2 linked regions of the Ovis aries genome follow. Each later gene encodes a partner of the first gene's protein in a complex. Links are inferred from orthologs where the notes say so. Each region holds a gene or a part of one and is shown on either strand. Other genes may lie near its edges. The genes, in order: COP1 and TRIB1.

Region 1 (3,824 bases):
TGCTAGGCTTCAATAGTACCTGAACTGAGAACTCCCAAATGTTCAAGCTGGATTTAGAAGAGGCAGAGGAACCAGAGATCAAATTGCCAACACCCGCTGGATCACAGAAAAAGCAAGAGAATTGCAGAAAAACATCTACTTCTGCTTCATTGACTACGCTAAAGCCTTTGATTGTGTAGATCAGAACAAACCATGGAAAATTCTTAAAGAGATGGGACTACCAGACCGTCTCATCTGCCTTCTGAAAAACCTGTATGCAGGTCAAGAAGCAACAGTTAAAACCGGACATAGAACAAAGGACTGGTTCCAAACTGGGAAAGGAGTACGTCAAGGCTGTAGACTGTCACTCTACTTATTTAACTTACATGCAGAATACATCATGTGAAATGCTGGGTTTGATGAAGCACAAGCTGGAATCAAGATTGCGGGGAGAAATACCAATAACCTCAGATATGCAGATGACACCATCCTTATGGCAGAAAGCGAAGAGGAACTAAAGAAGGTGAAACAAGAGAGTGAAAAAGCTGACTTAAAACTCAACACTCCCAAAACAAAGATCATGGCATCCAGTCACAGATGGGTAAACAATGCAAACAGTGACAGATTTTTATTTTCTCAGACCCCCAAATCACTGCAGATGGTGACTGCAGCCATGAAATTAAAAGACCCTTGCTCCCTAAAAGAAAAGCTATGACAAACATAGAAAGCATATTAAAAAGCAGAGAGATTACTTTGCCAACAAAGGTCTGTCTAGTAAAAGCTATGGTTTTTCCAGTAGTCATGTATGGATGTGAGAGTTGGACCATAAAGAAAGCAGAGCTGAAGAATTGATGCTTTTGAAATGTGGTGTTGGAGAAGACTCCTGGGAGTCTCTTGGGCTGCAAGATCAAACTAGTCAATCTTAAAGGAAATCAGTCCTGAATATTCAATGGAAGGACTCATGCTGAAGCTGAAGCTCCAGTACTTGGGCCACATGATGTGAAGAGCCGACTCATTAGATAAGACCCTGATTACTGGGCAAGATTGAAGGCAGGAGGAGAAGGGGACAACTGAGAATGAGATGGTTGGATGGCATCACCAACCCAATGGACATGAGTTTGGGCAAGCTCCAGGAGATGGTGAAGCATAGGGAAGCCTCGTGTGCTGCAGGCCAAGGGGTCGCAAAGGGTCGGACACAACTGAGAGACTGAACAACAACAACAATCATTGTGAAATAAAGTTTCCAACGCTAGAGCTACCCCTGCCTATCTATTCACTAGTCTGCAAGTTACAGATGGAAAGGAAGGAGAGGGCCAAGATAAAAGAAATCTGTTAACAGGGCTTTATAAATCTAATCTTGAGAAAAAACAGGCCAAAAGAAGACAGTAACGGGAAAGAACAAACAGTAAAGACAGATACACACACCACACACACACACATACACAAAAATAGAAAGATCAATGAAATTGGCAGAAAGAAATATAGAATTTCTGCCTTGAAACATGATTTACTTCATTCAAAGATTTTGGTATACACTCAGAATTTAATACAATTCAGAATACAGTGATGTCTAAATATTTCAACAAAAAAGTTCATTTCACAGTATATGTACAGGAACTGGTTATAAATACATCACAGGCATGAATTCAGAAAAAATTATTATAATGAAGATGCAGAATATTCATTTTTCTTTCACTCCAAGAAATAAAGATTTTTGTGCTTATTAGACTATTTTTAGAATAATCAGTAATCGCAAAGGATCACTATGGGTTTCAATAAATATGTGTATTTCTGTTAGGTTTTAAAAGGAATTAATTCGGGGGGGAGACCCAAATAGTACCTTTTGCATCATCAGAACCTGAAGCCAAGAGTTTAGGATCCATCAAATTAAAGTCAACACTCCAACATCTCTTCTCATGTTCCTAGATGTAGAAGGAAGACAAAGTAGTCTCAGAATATAGATCTTAAATAAAGCAAAACAAATAAACATAGCTGATACCAATTTATCACTATGGTGGGAGGGAGAAAGAACTGGCTATGAAAATAAAGGAGATGCAAAGTAGCTCCATAAACTTTTTAAATATACATTTATAAAATTACCACTTTTGGAAATTCATCCTACAAATGCAAAGAGCATTACTGGAATTACATAGGTAGACGGTTGGATGGCATCCCTGACTCGATGGACATGAGTTTGAGCAAGCTCTGGGAGTTGGTGATGGACAGGGAAGCCTGGGGTGCTGCAGTCCATGGGGTCGCAAAGTGTCAGATATAAATGAGCGGCTGACCTGAGGAACTGCTGCTGCTGCTGCTGCTAAGTTACTTCAGTTGTGTCAGACTCTGTGCGACCCCACTGACGGCAGCCCACCAGGCTCCCCCGTCCCTGGGATTCCCCAGGCAAGAATACTGTAGTGGGTTGCCATTTGAACTGAGGAACTGAGGAAATGCTAAACAATGATTTTAAATTTGTAATTATAAAATGCATGAAGCTCTATAATTATTAAAAAGTACAAATGTGATTCTTGCAACAAGCTCCAATATTTTGGCTACCTGATGCAAAGAGCTGACTCACTGGAAAAGACTCTGATGCTGGGAAAGATTGAGGGCAAAAGGCAAACGGGATGACAGAAGATAAGATTGTCAGATGGCATCATCGACTCAATGGACATGAGTTTGAACAAACTCTGGAGATAGTGATGGACAGGGAATCTGGTGTGCTGCAGTCCATGGGATCGCAAAGAGTTGGACACGACTGAGCGACTGAATAGTAACAACAACCACAGGTAACTAGTATTCTTATTTACCTGATAGACCTTTGACCTCTGTCCTGTGAATCCATCCCATAGGATGACGGTGCCTTCATAATCACTGCTGGCTAATAGGTTCTTATGATAACTACTCCAACTGATACAGCTGAAAGAAAGGGATATTAAGTTAAGCCTTATTTTACATAAAAATAAATAGCAATGGATACAAAGAATTTGGACGTGTTCAAAAAGATTAGAACCCTTTCAAAATGGTCTACATAAGTTCACAATAATTATTTTGCCCACAATCCATCAAGGAAGAAGGCATCAAATAATTCCCAGAGTATTCAATTGAAACTACCAAGTCACAAACCATAACCACTCTTCACTCTCATCACCAGCTAGAAGACAGATATGGTGTGCCTAAAGTTGCTACTGGCCATCCTTGACACATGAAAATACATGTCTGTAGGTGGAGATAACAGAGGCCAGGGGGGCACACGTATGTCATGGCAGAGACACATGAGGAATACATGTCTGTAGGTAGAGATAACAGAGGCCAGGGGGGCACACATATGTCATGGTGGAGACACATGAGGAATACATGTCTGTAGGTGGAGATAATAGAGGCTGGGGGGGCACGCGTATGTCATGGCAGAGACACATGATGAATACATGTCTGTAGGTAGAGATACAGGGGCCGGGGGGACACACATATGTCATGGTGGAGACACATGAGGAATACATGTCTGTAGGTGGAGATAATAGAGGCTGGGGGGGCACGCGTATGTCACGGCAGAGACACATGAGGAATACATGTCTGTAGGTGGAGATACAGGGGCCAGGGGGACACACATATGTCATGGCAGAGACACATGAGGAATACATGTCTGTAGGTGGAGATACAGGGGCCGGGGGGACACACATATGTCATGGCAGAGACACATGAGGAATACATGTCTGTAGGTGGAGATAATAGAGGCTGGGGGGGCACGCGTATGTCATGGCAGAGACACATGAGGAATACATGTCTGTAGGTGGAGATAACAGAGGCTGGGGGGGACACACATATGTCATGGCAGAGACACATGAGGAATA
Region 2 (3,385 bases), on another chromosome or scaffold:
CCAATTTCTGTATTTGTGATTCAAAATAATGTTGCTTTTAGCTTTCCTATTAGTTCCACTTTTACATTTACAGAAAGAAAAAAAAAAGGCCTCAACTAATTTAATTAAGTCTAATGGGGGAGGAAAGGGTGGAGTTGGGCTCTCAACAGGAGGCCTGGTGATACCTTCAGGGATGGATGTGGACCTCTGAAATTACAAGTTGGATACACATGGATGTTTTTCTGAGAAGCGTCCATAGTTTTCATCAAATTCTCAAGGGTCTGTGAAAGACCATAAGCCAGAGGGATTCTTACAACTCAAGACTTTTTCATCTATGTGCCTCCTCAAATGTTTCTCAACTCTTAAATTCAACTCAGCCCTCATCAGCCTGATTCACCAAATTGGTCTCACCCATCAAAATGAATTTGTCTACTTCAATGGAAAAAGTGAATGGGTTCAGCTTTGTCAAAGGTCATATATAATCATCAGCTGTTTACTTCTTCATCTCCCCATTGAGATTCCAGGCCCGAAGCCAGCGACCTTTGCATCCACAGCATGAAACTACACCAGGTAACGGGGGACTGGACTCCAAAGAAGTCACTGCACCTATTTACGAAACCAGATTTATTAAAATCTCTCTACAAGTCGGAAATGGCCGTCTCAACATATATACACATGTACAGGAAGGGTCTAGTGTTTCCAAGCCCCAGCAAACCCAGAGTCCTTAGCCGGGTCATGTATCACAGATACAACATTCAAGCAACCACGAGAGCGTTAGTGCGACAGAGGTCTCTGTCCTCCTTCTCCAAGTCCCATGATTCTGTCAAGGTAATATTGCCAATGATCATTCACATTTCACGTGGTCTTAGACACGCAGGTTATTCAGACAGACACAGACGACGAACAAGTGTCAGAGTGAAAACGACAACGAATGTAGAAAAGGTACATTGTATGTACAGAGCACACAGTACGTGAGGTATACACGGTATTCTCACAATGCATGTTAGTAGTTTGCCTAAGGCGTAGCCCTTAAAGGTGACTGCCTGCTTTTGTGCCATTTCTCAGAATACAGTATGTTTGGTTTACCCGTTTAACCACCGGATTTCAGTACTGTCTGAGACATTTACTGATATTTCATCTGTTTTTTTAATGCAAGTGGCAGTTTCTAAGTTCTATCTTCCGTAGGTAGTGAGTTCCCATCTCTGGAAGCATTCAAACAGAGGTTGGAGTCCCACCTGTGAAAGAATTTGGGGGGTATGGTGGGGTATGGGGATTTCTACATTGGGAGGTGGTAGAGAAAGGAAAGAAGTTGGACTAGATGCCTTTTAAAGTCCCTTCCGACCTTAAAGATTTGGGGCTTGCTATTTCACTCCACATACCGACGAAACAGATGCATTCATAAACCACACCACAGATGAAATATTAACAACCTGTCATGCAAAACTGCAGACCAGACCCATGGGGGTGGTTAAAGACTAATTCTGGAAGTTAGTCTGAGAGCCGTCTAAGACTATCCAAAATTTACTTTCTCTGAAGCACAAAAACTTGCTCTTGGGAGAGAGGAATCTTTTCTTTCTTCTCCTAGACAAAATGCTCCACCCTGAGATGGTCTTGGGGGAAAAAAGGAAAGGATAAATGCGAACATATTTGAGGGGAACCAAAACAGCTAATGGTTTCCAAGTGCTCAAATTCTTTTTAAAAGTCTCCAGTCTCTCTGTCTGAGCTCAGAGTTCTGAAACAGCCAGGAGCTTGAATCTTTTGTGATACTCTTCCACCATTAGCTGGTAAGTGCTTTTATAGTGAAAGAGGAAGGGGCTCATTTCAAGGTCAGAAAGAAGGCTTTAGTGCAAATGGGGTCTTGGCAGGACACAGAGGAGAGATGATTCTGGGTTCATGATTCAGGCAAGCTTCTACGCCCCTGAAAACAGTCTGCTCCAAAAACATGAAGAAAGGGCGAGTGTTAAACCAAACCAGGAAAAAACAATTTTCCAATCAGAGAAGCTGGGGGTAGCAAAAGCCTGGCTACCAAGGACCAGTTTGAAGATGGCAGGTTTATTGGCCCAGGTAATCTGTCACCCTGTTAAAAATATAGTTATTGCCCAAAATGCCATTGTGTGATTCATTTCCTCTCCCTTTAGAGTGTTCAAGTTCATTTCACTCCATCACACGCTGCAGGATATTTATACTCCGTGCCACCCAGAAAAGAGGTGGAACCCCCCAAAATCCAACAAAGGGATAGTTGGCGAAGGTTCACTGAGGAAAACAACTCTGTAGGGCAGCCAATCAGAGTGTACGCTGCTCACCTCCTCAGTCACGCATCCAGAAGATGAGAAAGAAGGGGCGCCATGCTGAATTCAGCACCCACAGTCTCCACGCCATCACCTGTCTGTTTGGCCTCACGCCGAAAGGCCTGTCCATCTTTAGAAATGGAAAATGCCATGTGTGAGAATTATGAGGTTTCTGAGGTTTGGGGATTAGCAGAAGAAGGAACTGATGTCACTGTCCTCCTGGTACTCTGGAACAATCTGGTCGGAAGTTCCTACTTCTGAGTCGACGTACCCAGGTTCCAAGACAGACTCAAACCAGGGATGGAGTAAGATCTCTGGGGCAGTGAGTCTCTCCGAAGGCTCCCGTCTCAGGAGGCTGCGAATGAGGCACCTGGCTTTGGGAGAAATGTGGTCAGGAATGCAGAACTGTCCACGTCGGATTTTGGAGAAAAGGGCACTGGGGTCTGAGTCATGGAAGGGGTAGCGCCCCACCAAAAGGGTGTAGAGCATAACCCCAAGGCTCCAAACGTCCGCTGCCTTTCCGGAGTAGGTCCCCGTGGTGTTCAGAATCTCAGGGCTCACATAGGCTGGGCAGCCGTGTTTGTCTGACAAAGCATCATCTTCTCCCTTGATTATGTGTGTATCTTCAAGACTTTCCAGTCTGAGCTGGGTTCTGTAGAAGACATGAAACAAGCCATTACTTCCAGATCCAGCTGCTATGAAAAACAAGGCCTTCCTTCCCAATAATAGGGCCCACAGGCACTCAACGCAAAGGCCCAAGGAATGCCAGTTACCCCTTCATCCAGTAAGCACTGCCTTGCAACCTACCCAGGAAGACTCCAGATTTCACAAACCAATACAAACTGCAATAAAAATTAGCAAACTATTGAGAGAGCACCTGGGGTGGAGGGTATGATGCAAAGCCCCAAATACTATTCATGATGCTAGAGCTTAGAAGAAATATCCTAATAGAGGTTACACAATCTACTAAGTGCACGTTGCAGCAGTGGGAGCCTGTGTCAGGAGAATGCTGACATTTCTCCAAAAGCTGCCAGGGAAGAACAGTTTATCCTACTGCTTCAGGGAGAGCCAGAGCATCCTACAAGCCGATCTTATCTCTTATCATGCCACTGACTGCG

The links.
Region 2: the proteins of COP1 (region 1) and TRIB1 are in contact, whole or in part, in a crystal structure (PDB 5IGQ), measured with the Homo sapiens proteins. The link is inferred for Ovis aries from reciprocal best matches to the Homo sapiens genes COP1 and TRIB1. Residues at the interface, in NP_071902.2 of Homo sapiens: Ile423, Ser425, Val441, Lys472, Tyr491, Trp517, Asp534, Ala556, Asn557, Cys559, Ala576, Asp577, His578, Lys600, Ala601, Ser603, Thr618, Lys643, Asn644, Phe645, Phe699; in NP_079471.1 of Homo sapiens: Asp355, Gln356, Ile357, Val358, Pro359, Glu360, Tyr361.

What each region holds. Positions count from the first base shown.
Region 1 is NC_056065.1:56,630,262-56,634,085, forward strand, and holds part of COP1 (E3 ubiquitin-protein ligase COP1), read right to left. Parts: intron 2,893-3,824; coding exon 2,784-2,892; intron 1,902-2,783; coding exon 1,820-1,901; intron 1-1,819. UniProt on the Homo sapiens protein: E3 ubiquitin-protein ligase that mediates ubiquitination and subsequent proteasomal degradation of target proteins.
Region 2 is NC_056062.1:27,809,554-27,812,938, forward strand, and holds the end of TRIB1 (tribbles homolog 1), read right to left. Parts: intron 2,920-3,385; coding exon 2,454-2,919; 3' UTR 589-2,453; downstream 1-588. UniProt on the Homo sapiens protein: Adapter protein involved in protein degradation by interacting with COP1 ubiquitin ligase. The COP1-binding motif is masked by autoinhibitory interactions with the protein kinase domain.